Kluyveromyces lactis: one gene and its partners. The protein of the gene in region 1 purifies or fractionates together with the protein of each later gene. This does not show direct contact. Links are inferred from orthologs where the notes say so. Each region holds a gene or a part of one and is shown in the gene's direction. Other genes may lie near its edges.

The links.
Region 2: the proteins of UTP13 (region 1) and BUD21 purify together in Saccharomyces cerevisiae (affinity purification with mass spectrometry; 3 studies listed by BioGRID). This does not show direct contact. The link is inferred for Kluyveromyces lactis from reciprocal best matches to the Saccharomyces cerevisiae genes UTP13 and BUD21.
Region 3: the proteins of UTP13 (region 1) and CSL4 purify together in Saccharomyces cerevisiae (affinity purification with mass spectrometry; 3 studies listed by BioGRID). This does not show direct contact. The link is inferred for Kluyveromyces lactis from reciprocal best matches to the Saccharomyces cerevisiae genes UTP13 and CSL4.
Region 4: the proteins of UTP13 (region 1) and IMP4 purify together in Saccharomyces cerevisiae (affinity purification with mass spectrometry; 3 studies listed by BioGRID). This does not show direct contact. The link is inferred for Kluyveromyces lactis from reciprocal best matches to the Saccharomyces cerevisiae genes UTP13 and IMP4.
Region 5: the proteins of UTP13 (region 1) and NOP14 purify together in Saccharomyces cerevisiae (affinity purification with mass spectrometry; 3 studies listed by BioGRID). This does not show direct contact. The link is inferred for Kluyveromyces lactis from reciprocal best matches to the Saccharomyces cerevisiae genes UTP13 and NOP14.

The regions. Positions count from the first base shown.
Region 1 is NC_006042.1:1,222,843-1,227,069, forward strand, and holds UTP13 (U3 snoRNA-associated protein UTP13), read left to right. Parts: upstream 1-1,335; coding exon 1,336-3,780; downstream 3,781-4,227. Other genes in the region: KLLA0_F13222g (uncharacterized protein), read left to right, coding at 1-791; RSA3 (Rsa3p), read left to right, coding at 4,120-4,227. UniProt on the Saccharomyces cerevisiae protein: Involved in nucleolar processing of pre-18S ribosomal RNA.
Region 2 is NC_006037.1:682,591-685,453, reverse strand, and holds BUD21 (Bud21p), read left to right. Parts: upstream 1-1,589; coding exon 1,590-2,342; downstream 2,343-2,863. Other genes in the region: KLLA0_A07645g (uncharacterized protein), read left to right, coding at 413-1,231; Mn(2+) transporter ATX2, read right to left, coding at 2,453-2,863. UniProt on the Saccharomyces cerevisiae protein: Functions as part of the small subunit (SSU) processome, first precursor of the small eukaryotic ribosomal subunit that coordinates the first two steps of ribosome biogenesis in transcription of the primary transcript pre-RNA and pre-18S processing.
Region 3 is NC_006040.1:1,659,611-1,662,435, reverse strand, and holds CSL4 (exosome non-catalytic core subunit CSL4), read left to right. Parts: upstream 1-1,423; coding exon 1,424-2,317; downstream 2,318-2,825. Other genes in the region: BNI4 (Bni4p), read left to right, coding at 1-1,107.
Region 4 is NC_006041.1:700,652-703,516, reverse strand, and holds IMP4 (snoRNA-binding rRNA-processing protein IMP4), read left to right. Parts: upstream 1-1,472; coding exon 1,473-2,324; downstream 2,325-2,865. Other genes in the region: MKS1 (Mks1p), read left to right, coding at 1-1,031. UniProt on the Saccharomyces cerevisiae protein: Required for the early cleavages at sites A0, A1 and A2 during 18S ribosomal pre-RNA processing.
Region 5 is NC_006039.1:1,426,521-1,430,713, forward strand, and holds NOP14 (snoRNA-binding rRNA-processing protein NOP14), read left to right. Parts: upstream 1-1,230; coding exon 1,231-3,744; downstream 3,745-4,193. Other genes in the region: proteasome regulatory particle lid subunit RPN5, read right to left, coding at 1-674; autophagy protein ATG9, read right to left, coding at 3,786-4,193. UniProt on the Saccharomyces cerevisiae protein: Involved in nucleolar processing of pre-18S ribosomal RNA. Has a role in the nuclear export of 40S pre-ribosomal subunit to the cytoplasm.

The DNA.
Region 1 (4,227 bases):
ATTCTAAGAATAAAGAGATTGCCACCTGGTATCACAAACCATCTGTTCCATTATCTGCTTTCAGAAATAAAGGCATCAACTTCGAACATCAAGAAGACGAATACATGCTTCCTGTGTTTTCAGCACGCAAGTTCCCAATTGGTTACGTTGGTAGTGAAAGGACTAGAAGGAAGATCGATAAGATGAAGGAATACCAAAGAAAGAAAGATGAAAAGCGACGGAAGATAAAGAAGAAAAAGAAGCTCTTGAAAATCAGAAGGGAAAGGCAAAGAATTGAAAAGCAAAAATTGCTCACTGCTCCTGAACAAGAAACTGAAACTGAACCCAACGCAGATTCTCACAACAACATTCAAACTCCCTCTAGCGTGAATTTGGCTAGTCCAAGTTCAAGTGTTTTCACCGATGCAGATGCTGGAAACACACCTAATGATTTCAACGGTCTGGTTTTACCAACGAGGAAGAATTCTGTGAAGGGATTAGGAATGGATGAAATTGATCAACTGCTGAAATCTGATGATGATTTAATACTTTCTCATCATGGAGATGAAGATGGAGATATTGATCTATTAGGCAGTGACGATGCAGATCTCCTGGTTTCTCTGACTGCCCCGATTGAAGAAATTGATTTTAACCATGAACAAATGAGCCATGTTGCCGCATGGAGAAGAAGAAACAGTATCGCCGAAGCTGCTGCTGAACATATGAGAGTAACCAAGAATGGACTTTTCAGTGAGACGGCGCTAGCTGATCTGGAGGAAATCATCGGAGGATCAACAGAACTCCCAAGTTAACCCTCATTTTCACTTCCTTTGATTTTATTTTTTATTCCTTGGTTTTACCACTGCTGCTGATGCGAAACTACTCGACTAAAGCATAACCATAAACTACAATTATCTGTATTCTACCTACTACACTTTCTTGGATATAATCTACATAGATATCATTCTGTGAAGCTCTATTCAGCTTCACCATTTTTTCCGTAAGAGGAGTGTTGTACTTCTCTCATAAATCAACAATTAACTTTAAAATCATATCCATTAGAATATTAGCAAATATTTAGCAAATATGTGTAAGTGCAAATAAACATTGTCTAAAGACCGTTCCCGGTTTTCAGCTCCTTTGTATATGTTCAATCTCTTTCTGTTTCAAGCATATGATAACCCATGCCTCATTGTCTACGTTTTTTTCTTTTTTTTGTTCAATTCGAATGTTGAAAAGTTTAATTCATCTCATCTCATCTCATCGCATCACAGAAATATGCTAGGTGAACCAATAAGATTATACCTGGCCAATTATTAGCACCCAGGACAGCACCTTGGATCTCCCACTCGCACAATGGATTTGAGAACTACCTATGCATCCACGAAACTAGAGCCGTTTTATGCTGGTACTGGTGCTATAGCATCTGTTTCTGAAGATGGACGATTATTAGCGACTTCGGTCGTCGATAAAATCAACATTGTTAGCTTAGATAGCCCACGCCGAGTGTTGCATTCTGTTGATACTGAGGATGAACAAGACATCACCGCATTGCATTTAACTCCAGATGGTTCTTATTTGTGTTTTGTCTCACAAGCGCAGTTGCTCAGAGTGTATTCTTTGAAACAAGAAAGAATTATCAGATCAATGAAGATTTCGTCACCGGTGTACGTCATGAATTGCGATCAAACATCTACACTTTTGGCTATAGGTGGTACTGATGGTAGTGTTAGTGTTATTGATATTGAAAATGGATATGTCACGCACTCTTTGAAAGGACATGGTGCTACCATTTCAAGTGTAAAGTTTCACGGTGAGTTGAACAGTGAAATTTGGAAGCTTGCATCTGGTGATACCAACGGTATGATTAAAGTCTGGGATTTAGTTAAACGTAATTGTCAATGCACTATTCAGGAACATACTACAGCTGTTAGAGGGCTAGATTTCCGTGTCACTGATGAAGAAAAGGGAACGCTGCAGTTATTATCTGGTGGTAGAGACAATATCTTAAATCTCTTCGAGTTTAATTCGACGAAAAAGTATAAGCTACTGAAGACCATCCCTGTCATAGAACAGGTGGAATCGTGTGGATTTACGCAGGACCCGGATGTGGTTTACTCAGCCGGTGGTGGTGCCATTTACCAATTAGTGTCCTTGTCAACAGGAAGAGTATTAAAGAAAACAGCAAAACCTATTGAAGAGCTATTTATTATTGGTACACTATGTATCCTGAACGGAACTAAGCAGTACTTGGTATTTTCAGATCAAACTTTGTTCCTAATAGATGTTGAATCAGCTTTACAATCGGAATCTGAAGTAATTGAAGTGGAAAATAAGATTGCAGGTAATCATGGTACCATTGCAGATATAAGATTCGTTGGTCCAAAACGGGATAAATTAGCATTAGCTACTAACTCTCCTACTCTTAGAATAATTCCAACCCCAACTTCTTCGGAGGAAGAGTTCGAAAATGGGGAGAACAAAGAAACATTTCCTATTGAAGTAAAGATGTACGAGGGTCATACGGATCTACTCAACTCTTTGGATGCCACCGCTGATGGTCTCTGGGTTGCTACAGCATCCAAGGATCACAGCGTTATATTATGGAGATATCATGCAAAGTACGAAGACTTTTATCCATACACTAAATTTGTCGGTCATGTAGGTTCTGTGAATGCTGTTGGACTTCCTAATGTTATGCCACGTTCATGGCCTGAATTCATAATTACAGCTTCTAACGATTTGACCATAAAGAAATGGAAGGTTCCTAAGGTGACATCTGATGAACCCGAAGATCTAATACTTGTTAAGACCTCAGAATATACCAGAAGGGCGCATGAAAAGGATATCAATGCTATCTCCATTTCACCTAATGATTCTCTATTTGCCACGGCTTCATACGATAAGACATGTAAAATATGGAATTTGGATGATGGTGAATTCCAAGCCACATTAGCAAACCACAAACGTGGTCTATGGGACGTTGCATTCTGTCAATATGACAAGTTATTGGCCACATGTTCCGGTGACAAGACCATCAAAATTTGGTCCTTAGAATCATATGCCGTCGTAAAAACTTTGGAAGGACATACCAATGCAGTTCAAAGATGTTCCTTCATAAACAAGAACAAGCAACTGATAAGTACTGGTGCTGATGGTTTAGTTATTATTTGGGATCTATCAACTGGTGAATCGGTCAAGACACTAGATGCTCACAATAACCGTATCTGGGCTCTTGCTGTTATGAACGATGGTGAATCCTTCGTTACAGCAGATGCTGACGGCTTCTTTGAGTTCTGGAGGGATAACAGTGAAGAGGAACACGAACGTAACCTCGAGCAAGAGAAACTGAAGATTGAACAAGAACAATCATTACAAAATTATCTCTCAGAAGGTGACTGGACTAACGCATTTTTGCTTGCCATGACCTTGGATCACCCAATGAGATTGTACAACGTCTTAAGACAAAGTGTAGACAACTCAAATGAGGATCCAAATGTAGTTTTCAACAACGAAATTGACGAGGTTGTGTCGACTCTAGATAAAGATCAACTTCTTCTTTTAGTGAAAAGGTGCAGAGATTGGAATACAAATGCAAGAACACACACAGTAGCCCAAAAGATGATAAGGTGTATTCTTCTAAGACAAAATATTGAAGAGTTGAGCGAAATTCCTGGGCTTGTAAGGATCGTTGAATCAATAATCTCATACGCAGAGAGACATTACTCAAGAATGGATAACTTGGTTCAAGAAAGTTATATCTTAGATTACGCTTTAGTTCAAATGGACAAATTGCTATAAAGAATGTAAATATAGCACTAGTCGTCATGTAGATATATACATATAACAGTACAACACACCCACCGCATCAACTCTGAATAGATACCATATCCAGTCAAGGGCCATCCATCAGTAGAATAATAAGTTTGTTACCCGGCTTTGAGTTTTAGACAGAATTTGTTTCCCTGCAAAAGAAACTTCATCAAATAACTAGACGATGTGAAGCGATGAGATGAGATGAGATGAGATCGGCTCTCATCCTTCTTCTGTTAAAAGGTGACTTCAACTGTGAATTTTTGACAGTTATACTTTAAAGTTAACTCTCCTCCATATTAACGAGAAGCTCTATCGGAAACTATCATGTCAGAGGGACATATTGCAGCTATTAGCAAGACGAACAAGAGGAAGAACAGAAGAAAGAAGAGAAGAACGCAAGACGTGTCCGACTCAAGTTCTGATTCCAGCTCC
Region 2 (2,863 bases), on another chromosome or scaffold:
ACTGGTGTTACAACCTGTGTGATCATATTGACGGTCAATATATCTAGATCACCTTTAACCGGAGACCTTATGGTCACGTGATATTCATCCTATATTGCAATAAATGATACCACCTCACAAGAGAAAACACAGAGCGATGCACTTAGAAGCACGGGCTCTCCAAGATAGCTGTCCTGTTGTTACAGATGGTTACACCCTACTAAACCCCCGATTTTGAAGTGACACGGCTGTTCAATCGCCGGTAATTCCTTGTGTCAGTTTTCCAGACGTCAAATTGAACTGAATTTAGATCCCAGCCACAAACGTTTTAATAGAGAACACGACATAAGACGTTCTCCAACCGTTCAAGGTCGAGATCTGAATCTAGATATTTAGAGAGAACGTCAGCTTCTACTGTACAGAGCTAAATCATATGAAGAGCTTATTGAATAAGCGGTTTTCGCCTAAACGTCGAAATAAACCAATCACTTACGCACCAGCTTCAGCAGCGAAACCTAAACCCAAACCCAAACCTAAACCCAAACAACTGGACCCACCAATGCAATCCGGTGAGAGCAGTAGCCAGAAAAGCAGCACTCCCATACCAATCAAGTCTATATTAAGACCTGTTGATGGCACGCACGAACATGAGAATAAATCTGTCCGCATTGTGGAATCTTCACCACATCCGGAGTCTGTTCCAATCAGCACACCAACTAGGATAATAGTAGGACCATTACCTGATGGAAATGTTAGTGACTCTTTGGTATATAATGCCAGCGATTTAGAAAAGGGTCATATCGGCGTCGCGGAGGAATCGTCACCGCTACTAGAATCACAGTTGCCTGATTTGACAACATACCAAACAATTTCCCCAGAGTCCAACCCCACTGCACAGATACATTGCTGGTCAACACCCTCGTTGCCAATTCCAATACCACCACCATCAAGCGATCAGCCATGTTCAGGCGACCCCGTGCAGTCACCCTCAATTCCCCCATCCAGGGAATCACCATTTACCAGTCCGTTAAGTCGGTTCTTGCAAATGCTATACGCAAGATATCCTGTCATCATAACTTATATCCTAATCACCATCTGTGTCATTGGGATAATATATTCTTTAGTAACAGGAACTGGTAGATCATATCTCTTGGTTATTATAAAGGCATGTATATGCTGGATAATGGGTACAGACGTGGCAAGAATGCTTTTTGGTACCCAGTTCTGTGATATTGAGTTTAAAGTGTCATGATGTTTCAGTACTGCAAGCTACACATTAAATACCATTAGCATAGCAATAAAGTTGATATAAATTGATATAATCTAACCAACAAATAGCACCAGAACCAGCCAATACACAGCACAGTCCGTTAACGGGTGATGAGCATTCTACTCGTAGTCCAGTGTCAGGAACAAAATCTTCAGCACGTGACCTCTATTTACGTATCATTTCTTTTCGAAGTGAAAAATTTGGACAAAGCGATGAGATGAGATGAGATGAACCACTGGAACTAGTCCATGAAGCAGGTCGTGTTACCGTTCTGTCAGTGTTTCTGTTCAATTGTGCATTGGATTAGACAAGTGGCAAGAGTTTACTGAGAAATATAACAATGGGTTTGAAGAAAGTTCTAGGTTCTGGTGCTGCACTGGTAGCGAAGAGACACTTGAAGTTCGATGATGATGCGGATGATTCATTCCATACAGCTGATGAGGGCAACTCTACCCTAGATGCTCTCAAACCAACAAAAGCAGAAGCGAATGGTGAAAGTGAAAGTGAGAGTGAGAGTGATAGCGATGCGCCAGAAGAAGAAGGCTTGAGTAGTGGGAAAGATGCTATAGAGAAAAGGATTCAGGAAAGAGAAGAGGCTGCAAGGTTACAAGAAGAGGCAGCTAGAGAGAAGAGACGAAAGAACGAGAAAGTGTTCAAGCAACAGCAGCTAGAGAAGAAGAAGAAGCTGCTCGAGTCTGAGGAGGAGAAACAGAGAGAAAAGATGTTAGAGTTTGAACGACAATTAGTAGCGCAGCAGGGTTCGGATAATGATGAGCCGGAAGAGTTACCACAAGAGTTCTTTGATGAGCTAGAAAGTGGATCTGCATCTTCCTTCGCAAAGGCTACGCCGAAACATATTACTTTCTCGGCAGAAGCGCAAAGAGAAGAAGAACAGGCCCTAAAAGAAGAATTACGGAAACAAAAGAAGAGATCACTAAGGGAATTGAGAAAGACCCAAATACAGAAAGGACCTGTCACTGTGAACTTGCTATCGTCGATGAAGGTATCTAAGACACTGGCTCCAAAAAAGGAAACCAGTGTCATGAAATCAAAGGATAAATGGTTGAAAAGAAGAAGTCTCAAACGTAAATAGAAGAGGATTTGTGCCCACATGTACCTATCTATTCAAATATACAGGTCTTTATACATGTGATTTGTCTCGTGTATAATGTATTATCTAAAAGAGGAGTTTCCTGATTGGCTTTAGCTATCATGAGGAGCGAAGAAAGAGATCATTAACGGGATAAAGATACCCAAGAGTAACAATCTGACATCTGGAAGTGATTCTTGTTCTATTTTCTCTTCAGTGGTAACACCTTCGCCCATCTCTAAAACAGAACCCGACACTGGGATCGGGCCATCATTCTGTAACTGTTGTTCCTGGTCCTTACTTGGTGAGATCAACGCAAGCAATGAAGCATACAATAAACTACTACCGCTCAGAACCAATAGCCCATCGCTCATTTTCTCGATTAGGTCCTTGCTGACGAATCTCATCAGGATCACGAATAGCAACCCGAACGGTGTGGATATACTGAATGCAATAAGATTAGAGATTACTTGTAGTTTGGGTAATCTCTGTTTCGAAATCATAATCCCCGTCAAGGAAAGCGT
Region 3 (2,825 bases), on another chromosome or scaffold:
ACAAGAACATCTTTCGCAACCCCGGATTTAACGAAATCTCCGGTGAGCAGTATTCTGCGCAGCGGAAAGTTTGAAACTACGTCTGATGAAAAAATATCCGCCAGTTCTGATTTGGACAATAGTCATGGTACTCGAAGTGCAAGTTTCACAATTTCACCACAACAGAGAGATTTTTCTTTTGGTTCCATAGAGCAAAAGTTAAACGAGCTGACAATGGAATCTGATCAAGAAGATCAACTAGAAAAACCATTGGTGCAGAATAAGGCAACTAAATCTAGTCTTGAAGATTCAGATAATGAAGACAACGAATTAATCTCAGATATCATGGAATTTGCAAGTATAATAGACTTTGGACAAGATATCGAGTTAAATTTTGATCTCTATTCTGACAATCGTTCACACTATGAAACTCTAAATCCGGTCAAAGAATCTGTGAAAAACTCTCTATCCAAGCCCAGCTTCAATACTGAGACAGAAAACTCATTTCTTGTGGAACTTACTAACTCCCCAGAAATTAAGACAAACAGTTCAGTACTCAACCAAAAACAGACTGGTTTGGATGATCAGAAACACATATCAAGTACTATAAAAACAAGAGACACATCACCAGAAAATGTTAGCAGTAGCAACCAAAACACTTTTTCTGATAGCAGTTTATATTTTGATAATTATGATGAGGAAGATTTTGAGAACGAAGATTTTAATGGCATACATGCAGTAAAAGAATCCCCAAAGATCAACGCATTTTTACCAGATATCACAACATCGATGAGCAGGCCTATATCGATGTCTTTTAGGGGTTTGAAAGCGCCACAATTCAACAGTACCATGGAACTTTCAGGGCTTACGGGACTTGAACATATCTCAGATCAGATGTCGAAGAAATCGGAAGAAAGATCTAGCTATGCAGCAAAACTTGTTAAGTTTTCCTCTCAAATAGTCCTTTATGAGACCTATGGTGAACTTGAGTATGATAGGCATCCTGATTCGGCAACATGCAATCAACTTACTCCTCAATTGGCCCAAATGATAAAGGACGAGCTGAATGAGCTTAAAGCAGAAATGGACATTCACGAAGATTCTATGTGCAACACTCACTTCTTTTAGTAGACCTATAAATACATGTAATCATAGTAGTTAAATCATTTACCATGCGTTTCTATGTTTCCCTTTATATGGATTCAAATCGTGCACGTAGCTTTCGTGTTGAGCCCGCTTTGAAAGCTTTGGTAATATTACCCTACTATTTGAAAATAATTCTAACTTGTCTTCAACATCTCCCAAATTTTGAAAATTGTTTCACTCATTATGAAAATGATAAAAAAAGAGCTGCTTTATGCGATGAGCTAACAGTAATACCAAACTAGCTTAAATATGGCCTGTAAGATAATAAGAGTGTTTGATAACAGTAAGGTTTGTCTATATGCATCGTTATAAAATGAAGCCTTTTAAAAATTTCCCCCAGACTGTTATACCCGGTGATCTTATATGTCCAATATTTGATGTTGATGATGATAACAAGCAAGAAGTGGTAATACGCTTCCTAACGGGCACTGGCTGTAAACAGGAGAATTTTAGAGTTAACGGCAAGAACGTTGATATTATCGTAGCCACATTAAAAGGTTCTGTATCTGTGGAAGAAGTTCCAGCAGATATTATCGAAGACGACGATCAAGAAGACTCAGAGAATACGACGTTTGTAGAATCTCATGAGACCACCGGAGGGGATGCAAGCTCTGGCAATAGTAGAGTTATAAAAAGTTTCAAAGTATCAGTATCAAATCCTAGCAAGTTTGCTAGCAAGTATGTTGATGACCAGTTTGTCAATAACCTTCCGCAAGAGGGCGATATCGTACTGGCGAGGGTGACCAGAATCAGTTTGCAAAGAATAACAGTTGAGATTTTAGCAGTTGAGAATTCGCCCTTGCCGATCGACTCTGGTGTCGGAAGCAATGGGACTGGCATAATTGCTGCTGCTGGTGGATCTGGTGCGTCTACGTTTTCCGTTTCGCAAGTGTCCGCGGATTTGGGAGAAACTTTTAGGGGCATAATTAGATCCCAAGATGTAAGGGCCACTGATAGAGATAGAGTAAAAGTTATGGAAAGTTTTAAACCTGGGGATATAATACGTGCTCAAGTGCTCTCACTTGGCGATGGTACCCATTACTATTTAACTACAGCAAGGAATGACTTGGGCGTGGTGTTCGCTAAGTCTTCTAACGGAGCTGGAGAACAGATGTATGCAATTGATTGGCAGACAATGATTTCACCAAAGACCGGAGTCGCTGAGAAACGAAAATGTGCAAAGCCCTTCTAATATAGTCGGAACACAACAAGCTTTTTGTTCAAGTCTATAGGTACCTTCACATACATACATTTACAACTTTCATTTACATTTACATTAGTTTCGTATTAGGCTTCACGCATATTGGGAATATTGAGGAAGTTTCTACTAAGATCATTGTGAATTCAACGCCTGAATATCATATGTTATTATCAGAAAAGTTAGTTGGACTTTTAGTTGATTGGGAATTTCAACTCATCGTGGTCACCTCTTAAATCATATTCACTCAGTCCAACTTTTTTTCCGAACTTCTCAAATCTTTGTAGATAATGCTTTCTCTTCTTCTCTGCAATTTGAGTTAGGACAGGCCAATAGGCTTCATGATTATATTTGAAGTCGAGGTTACCACCATAAAGCGTCTCGAGTTGATCAGGTGGCACATAATTTGGAAATGGTTCATCAAAAACCAATTTTTCACGAGTCAACGGATCAATAAAAGGATGGATGAGCTTCAAAAAGGTCCACGCAAGCCACGGGATAT
Region 4 (2,865 bases), on another chromosome or scaffold:
TGAATCATTCCTCGAGAACGTCATCAGTTGCCAACAATATCGCTCATACATCTAGTAATGGCACCAAATCTGGAACGTCTGGTACTATAAGTAATGCAGCGCATGTGCATGCCGGACAAGATCACAAGAATATGTTCTTTAGTAGTGAGGACGAAGAATCTGATTGGGACTCTCTTTCAGATGATAGTGAGATATACGATGAAGAAGAAGATAATGATCAATATTATGAAAACCAATGGGATAAGCTGATGTTCTCAAAGACACACCAAAACAATAATGTTCATCAAGTGCCTTCAAAAGAATCCGGAGAGAAGAAAAGTTTGTTGTCTGGTCTATTCATGCAAGAGAAACAAACCAAGTCACAAGTTGATCCAGAGGATAAAGCATACACTACAACCAATGAGGATTTGCTCAAAAGACCACTATATGTTTCTGAAGCAACATCTTCAGCAAAGGCTGTTGAGAAACCTGTCTTAAAGTCTTTGGATAAACAATCGGAAAAGCCTCTGAGAAAGAAGACCGATCAAAATTGCATATTACATCAGAATCCAACAGGAATTCAAATACCGCCTCAACCTGTTGCTCCAGAAACTACGGAAATAGTTGCTGTGGGCTCTGTGACACCATCAAGTTCGTGGCAGAACAAACCTCTTTTGGATCATCAAAAGCCAATTCCTGTCGCATTTGAGCGTTCCAGAAGACTCGGCTCTTTTAGTAGTATCGTAAGCGATACTACTAGAGAACGGTATTATCATGAATCGAATGCACCTCCGGCTGCTCAGACCATTTTACCTACTGCTCTTTCTACCCATATGTTTTTGCCTAATAACGTCCACCAACAAAGGATGGCATTACGTGGAGGAAGTCTTCAATCAGATTTTGATACTGAAATAGCCAAAAAGGTAGCATCGAGACGTGAATCGATGGATATCCCTTCCAAAAACAGAAACAATTTCTTCCTCAAGACTAGAATGGAAATCTCAGAAGAAGAAAGCTTCGCTAGAGCATATGGCAGATGTGTCAAGAAGTGAAGGTAATTTCCTTCATTTACTAAACATCATCCACGACAAATATTAATTACCTTTGATAGACTGTATAAAACCTCGTTTAATGACAACCAAGTAATTCTTTAATATGTCACCAATTACAGTGTCTGTTGTATGTAACCGATGTTACGATAATGCGTTTCTTAGCGTATTTGGCTTTATGGATTTGTATAAAGGTTTTGTCACGTGACCATTTGGTATTATTCTAATAATTATTTCTTTTTGAGGCTGAAATTTTTACATGAACGATGCGATGAGATGAGACGTTAGAGCTGAAGAACAACTTAGCTGGTTGGACATTTTTGTTTACGACGGACTAGTATCGTGTATATACGTACTGTAGTCACTATAAACAGGCATTATTATAGTATATTATCAGCTATTCGCTTTTTTGGTACTATACAAGCAACACATTATTGAAGTACGATGTTAAGAAGGCAAGCTCGTGAAAGAAGAGAATACTTGTACCGTAAAGCACAAGAGCTACAAGAATCTCAACTACAACAAAAGCGCCAAATCATAAAGCAAGCGTTAGCACAGGGGAAACCACTACCAAAGGAAATTGCTGAAGATGAGCAACTACAGAAAGATTTTCAATACGATGAAAGTGCTCAGGAACAGATAGATGATGAGTACAGCGCAACAAGCGGTATCGCAGAACCTAAGATTATTGTGACAACATCTAGAGACCCTAGTACTAGGTTATCACAGTTTGCAAAAGAAATCAAATTACTGTTCCCAACAGCGGTAAGATTAAACAGAGGTAATTACATTATGCCGAATCTTGTCGATGCCTGTCAAACATCAGGAACGTCAGATTTGGTTGTTCTTCATGAACATAGAGGTGTTCCTACATCACTAACGGTATCACATTTCCCACATGGTCCAACAGCATTTTTCACATTACACAACGTCGTTTTAAGACATGACATTTTAAATTCGGGGAATCAAAGTGAAGTAAATCCACATCTAATCTTCGATAATTTCACAACACCATTGGGTAAGAGAGTAGAGACGATTTTAAAGCACCTATTCCCACCTGGTCCAAAGAAAGATGCAGCAAGGGTGATAACGTTTGCAAACAGAGGAGATTTTATCAGCGTTAGGCAACATGTTTATGTGAAAACCAGAGAAGGTGTGGAGTTAGCAGAAGTGGGACCTAGGTTCGAGATGAGATTGTTCGAATTAAAATTAGGAACATTAGAAAATAAAGATGCTGACGTAGAATGGCAACTAAGAAGATTTGTTAGAACGGCTAGTAGAAAGGACTATTTATAATTATAGTAAGCATAATAAGACAATTCCATCATAATGTCCATAAAATCAAGCAAAGTATAACATTTTTGCTAGTGGAAAGAATTCTATCAAACGTATTTCGTTTTAACGACGGAAAGGGTATGTTGTTTGAGGAGATACAGGAAAATTAAACACAATTACATGATATTAGCAAACCCTGGAGCATGAAGCAACTGCGTTTCAGTCACTGTATTTATAGATAGGATAAAAAGAATCAGAAAGAGAAAAAGAAAACACCCGTAAGTAAATTAACATAAAAGAATAACAACCTTCTCATTTCGATATAAATAAAAATAGAATGTTAATTCAAAATAGAGTTATAACGATTGACTGTACCGAGGAGACGGTAAGGGAAAGAGTTGCTGAACGAGAGAAAAAATAAGGGAAGGGGAAGAAGATGTATCAAAGAAGAGACGGAAAAAATAAATGACCCGTTCTTGGCCAGAAAATTCAAGTGATTGCTTGAAAACAGATAAACGTAGCAATTTCCTTCTATTTAAAAGCGCGCTGAATGGCTCATGGA
Region 5 (4,193 bases), on another chromosome or scaffold:
ATCTTTACCAAAAGGTTATAATACTCTAATTTCAATGCTGCATACTTTTCATTCTTGAAAGTCTTCTTTAATATTTTTCTGGACAACACAGTGGCTTGAGAGTAATCACCTTTTAGGATACTTAATTCCATTTGTTCAAGGATAAATTCAATCTTTTCATACATCTCCATGGACCCATACGTTTCCACTTGCAATTCACATAACAAGTCAGTGGCCTCATCGATCTTGTTCTCAGATCTTCTGATATGAACCAAATCTCTAGTGACTCTAGCTCTTTCAACTTCCACGAAAATCTTGTTCTCAGTCACGGTTCTTATCGTCTCAATAGTTTTAATCTTGGTGTCCAAATCCTTCAGGTCTTCCAAATATTTCATCACAGACTGAATCATATACTGCACAGATAACTTCAATTGACCATGCTTTTTTGATAGAAGCATGATTTGGTCGTTAAGTAGGTCCCATTGGTCTGCTGCGACCAAAACATCTACGATCTTAGTCAAGACTCTTTTCGAAGATGCTAAATCAGAAGATTGTCTAGTCTTCTTTTCCAACACTAACAATTGATCCAAAGCACTGGAATAATCATTCTTGGCCAAAATCTCAAGCTTAGGAAATTCAGCGTCCAAGATTTCGGTATAATCTTTCTCTGCCTTAATTGGAGCGTCTCTGGACATATTTTACGATATAATTTATACTCTTTTCTCTTTGCTCTGCCTGCTCAACTTAAACCGAAATGCAATACAATCAATTTCTCTGTATCCGTCCTGTATTCAAACCACACAAACTTACAGTCTCAGAACCGACACTGTAACCTGCTGTACCTCTGTTCGCGGTTATTTCGTATATATTTGCCACCTGTAACTGATTTCCTTTATTTCTCATAATGCCTTTAAAATGACAAGCTACGGTAAAAGCTTCCTCAGTAACAGTAACAATCGAATCTTAGAAAAACGTGACTTCATCATCGTTCGTAATGATTGTGCTGGATATTCGGGTAACCTTGATTTGATTTTATTGTGCGGGTAACTATTTTCTTTCTTTTCGGTGAAAAAGCATTAAAAGTTTGACAGAAGATGAATTGAGCGATGAGATGAGATGAGATGGGATTAAATCAAAGGCTGTCAGAAGGTTCAGTATCTTGGCCGATTGTATTGAATTGACTTGCATCATCAGTTGTGTTTAGACCATTCTTCTTGTCTGTGGGCAAATAGGTTACAAAGTCGAATAATAATGGGTGGTTCACAGTTGAAGAACTTGAAGGCCGCTTTAAAGGCTAATGGGTTGACTGGTCAGACCAATGTCAAGAAGAGTTCTAAGAAGAAGGGCAAATCTCCCAGGGAGTTTGATAGAGAAGAAAGACAGAAGACTATTGAAAGAATTAGGGAACAGTTTAATCCGTTTGATGTGAAAACAAATCGTAATAAAAAGGTTGGTGTGATGAGGGAATCTGCAGCTAAACTTGCAGTAGGTAAGCCGGGAATCACTAAACAAGCCGGTGAAGATCAACGTAAAATGTTCTACGAAGCCAAGAAGTCCAGCAAGAACAGAAGCGGTGGTGTCTTAGATAAACGTTTTGGTGAAAAGGATAAGAATTTGACTTCCGAGGAGATCATGTTGGAACGTTTCACAAAGGAAAGACAACGTCAATCTTCGACGAAAAGATCGTTATTCAATTTAGACGATAGCGATGGTGGTGAGGATGAAAACGTGTACGGTGAAAAGTTGACTCATTATGGTAAGTCTCTTTCCTTGGAAGATGATTTCGATGAAGGTGATTTGGGGTTACAGCATTCTGATTCGGAGGACTTCAGGTTGAAACAAGCTGGTAAAAGAAATATGGCGGATCAATACGGAGATGAAGGGTTAGGTGATGACGCTTTGCAAGAGCCAGCAAGAAAGAAGACTAAGGCAGAAGTCATGCAAGAGGTCATTGCTAAATCCAAATTTTACAAACATGAAAGACAAAAGGCGCAGGAGAAATTGGTCCAAGATATCGAAGGCCTTGATGACGATTTCGAAAGCATTATGTCTGAATTAAGGACGTTACCAAAGACTAAACCTTCTCAAACTGAGATTTCGACCTCCACAGACATCGCTCCAGATTATGATATCAAGGTGAAAGAGTTAGTCTTGGAGAAAAGAGCTGCCCCTGCAGATAGAACTAAAACAGATGAAGAGATTAAGAAAGAATATGAGGACAAACAAAAGGAATTGGAGCAGAAAAGGCTTGATCGTATGAACGGTATTTTCAACATTGAAGATCAAAAAGATGCTGGTGTTGAAGATTTGGGAGAAGAGTTTTGGGAAGATAGCGACTCTGAGGAGGGCGAATATGGTGAATATATCAAAGCAATTCCTGACTCGGATGACGACGTTGATTTCGAGAAGGATAACAATGATGACAATGAATACGACGCTACATCAAATGGTAGACCTTCAGCAAGAGTTATACCTTCTGTTCCATGTCCTCAAATTCACGATGACTTACTAAATTTCTTGAAATCTTATCCTATCGAAGAGCATCCATCTTTAGTTAAAAGAATAGTAAAAACATACCAACCAAAATTGGCTGAGGGAAACAAAGAAAAATTGGGCAAATTCACTGCTGTTTTGCTCAGACATATACTTTTCTTGGCTGAAGAAGATTACTCGGTTAATGTGAAAGAAATTGCATCATTACAAAACGAACTAGTAAGCATTCTAAAGACTCTTTCAGAAAAGTTTACCATTCCACTATCAGAGGATTGTAGAAATATCATCTCAGATATTCAGACTAGATTCAAAGAATCCCAGTTCTATGGACTATCTCCATCAGATTTGGTATTTTTCTCTGTTGTTGGTATGTTGTTCTCCACTTCGGATCACTATCATTTAGTCATTACTCCCTGTCTGCTTCTAATTGCAGAGTTTTTGGAACAAATTAGGTTCAATTCTCTTCAAAAATTAATATTTGGTTCGATACTGGTTAGAATCGCCATCCAGTATCAACGTATAAGCAAGCGTTATATTCCTGAGTTAACATACTTCTTGCAGACATCTTTGCGTTCTCTAATACCGAGTACCAAAGGGGAAACATTAGAAAACAAAGAAAAACAGGAGGACAATTTATCAATAGTAGGCTCGGATATTAACTGGTCCAAGGTCGCCCCTTCTTTAGAATTACACTCATTATTTTCCGAGGATCTAGAAAAGCAAGAATCTATCAAACTGTCCGTGCTGGTCAACAATCTAGAATCAATTGATTGGTGCATAACGAACATCTGGAAAGATCTTACTGCCTTCCCAGAAATCATTAATCCCTTCAAAGACATACTAAACGTGGCTGCCGAAGTATATCCTGGTACTTCTAAACCAAAACAATTAGTGGAAAAGATCGAAAAGCTATTGAAATTCCAAGAACGTCTGCCATTGACGTTGCAACAGCATAAACCACTGGCGATTCCATCAAATACGCCTAAATTCGAAGAGAACTTCAACCCAGATAAGAAGTCGTATGATCCAGATAAGACCAGAAGTGAGTTGAACAAGATGAAGGCGCAATTGAAGAAGGAACGTAAGTTCACTATGAAAGAAATACGTAAAGACACTAGATTCGAGGCAAGACAAGGCATTGAAGAAAAGAAGAAGGAGTACGCCGATTACCATTCCAAGATGGCACGTATTGTCAATCAAATCAGTACTGAAGAAGGTGCTGAGAAAAACAAATATGAGCGTGAAAAGAAGCTCCGTAATACCAAACGTTAACTGCATATTATATAATCTATACTCAACATTAATAAACTTTATCATCGATTGCGATCTGATTTTTTGTAATATTGGTTTAATAGGCCCATAACACCATTTCCCGCCTTCAGTTCGTCAGCATTATCAGCAATATCATCCTTAAAAAGGGTAGATTTGTTGATAAGTGAACCACTCAATGAGCCTAATTCAAGGTCCGAACTACGATCCGGGAATCTCTTCACCCTTGATCGATTAAGATTTCTCTTACGATTGGAGTTTTTACCTAAGGCAAATTGTGTCTTCCAGGAATAGTCTTTAGTAGAGCTGTATGGGTGATAAGATGGCTCGATTGGAGAAGCTGGTAGCTGATTTTTGCCCACTGCATTGCCTGCATTCTTGTAATCGTCAACGAAGTACATATATGACTGAAGCATTTTGTTAACACCCTCATCCGATTCGGTTTCACTATC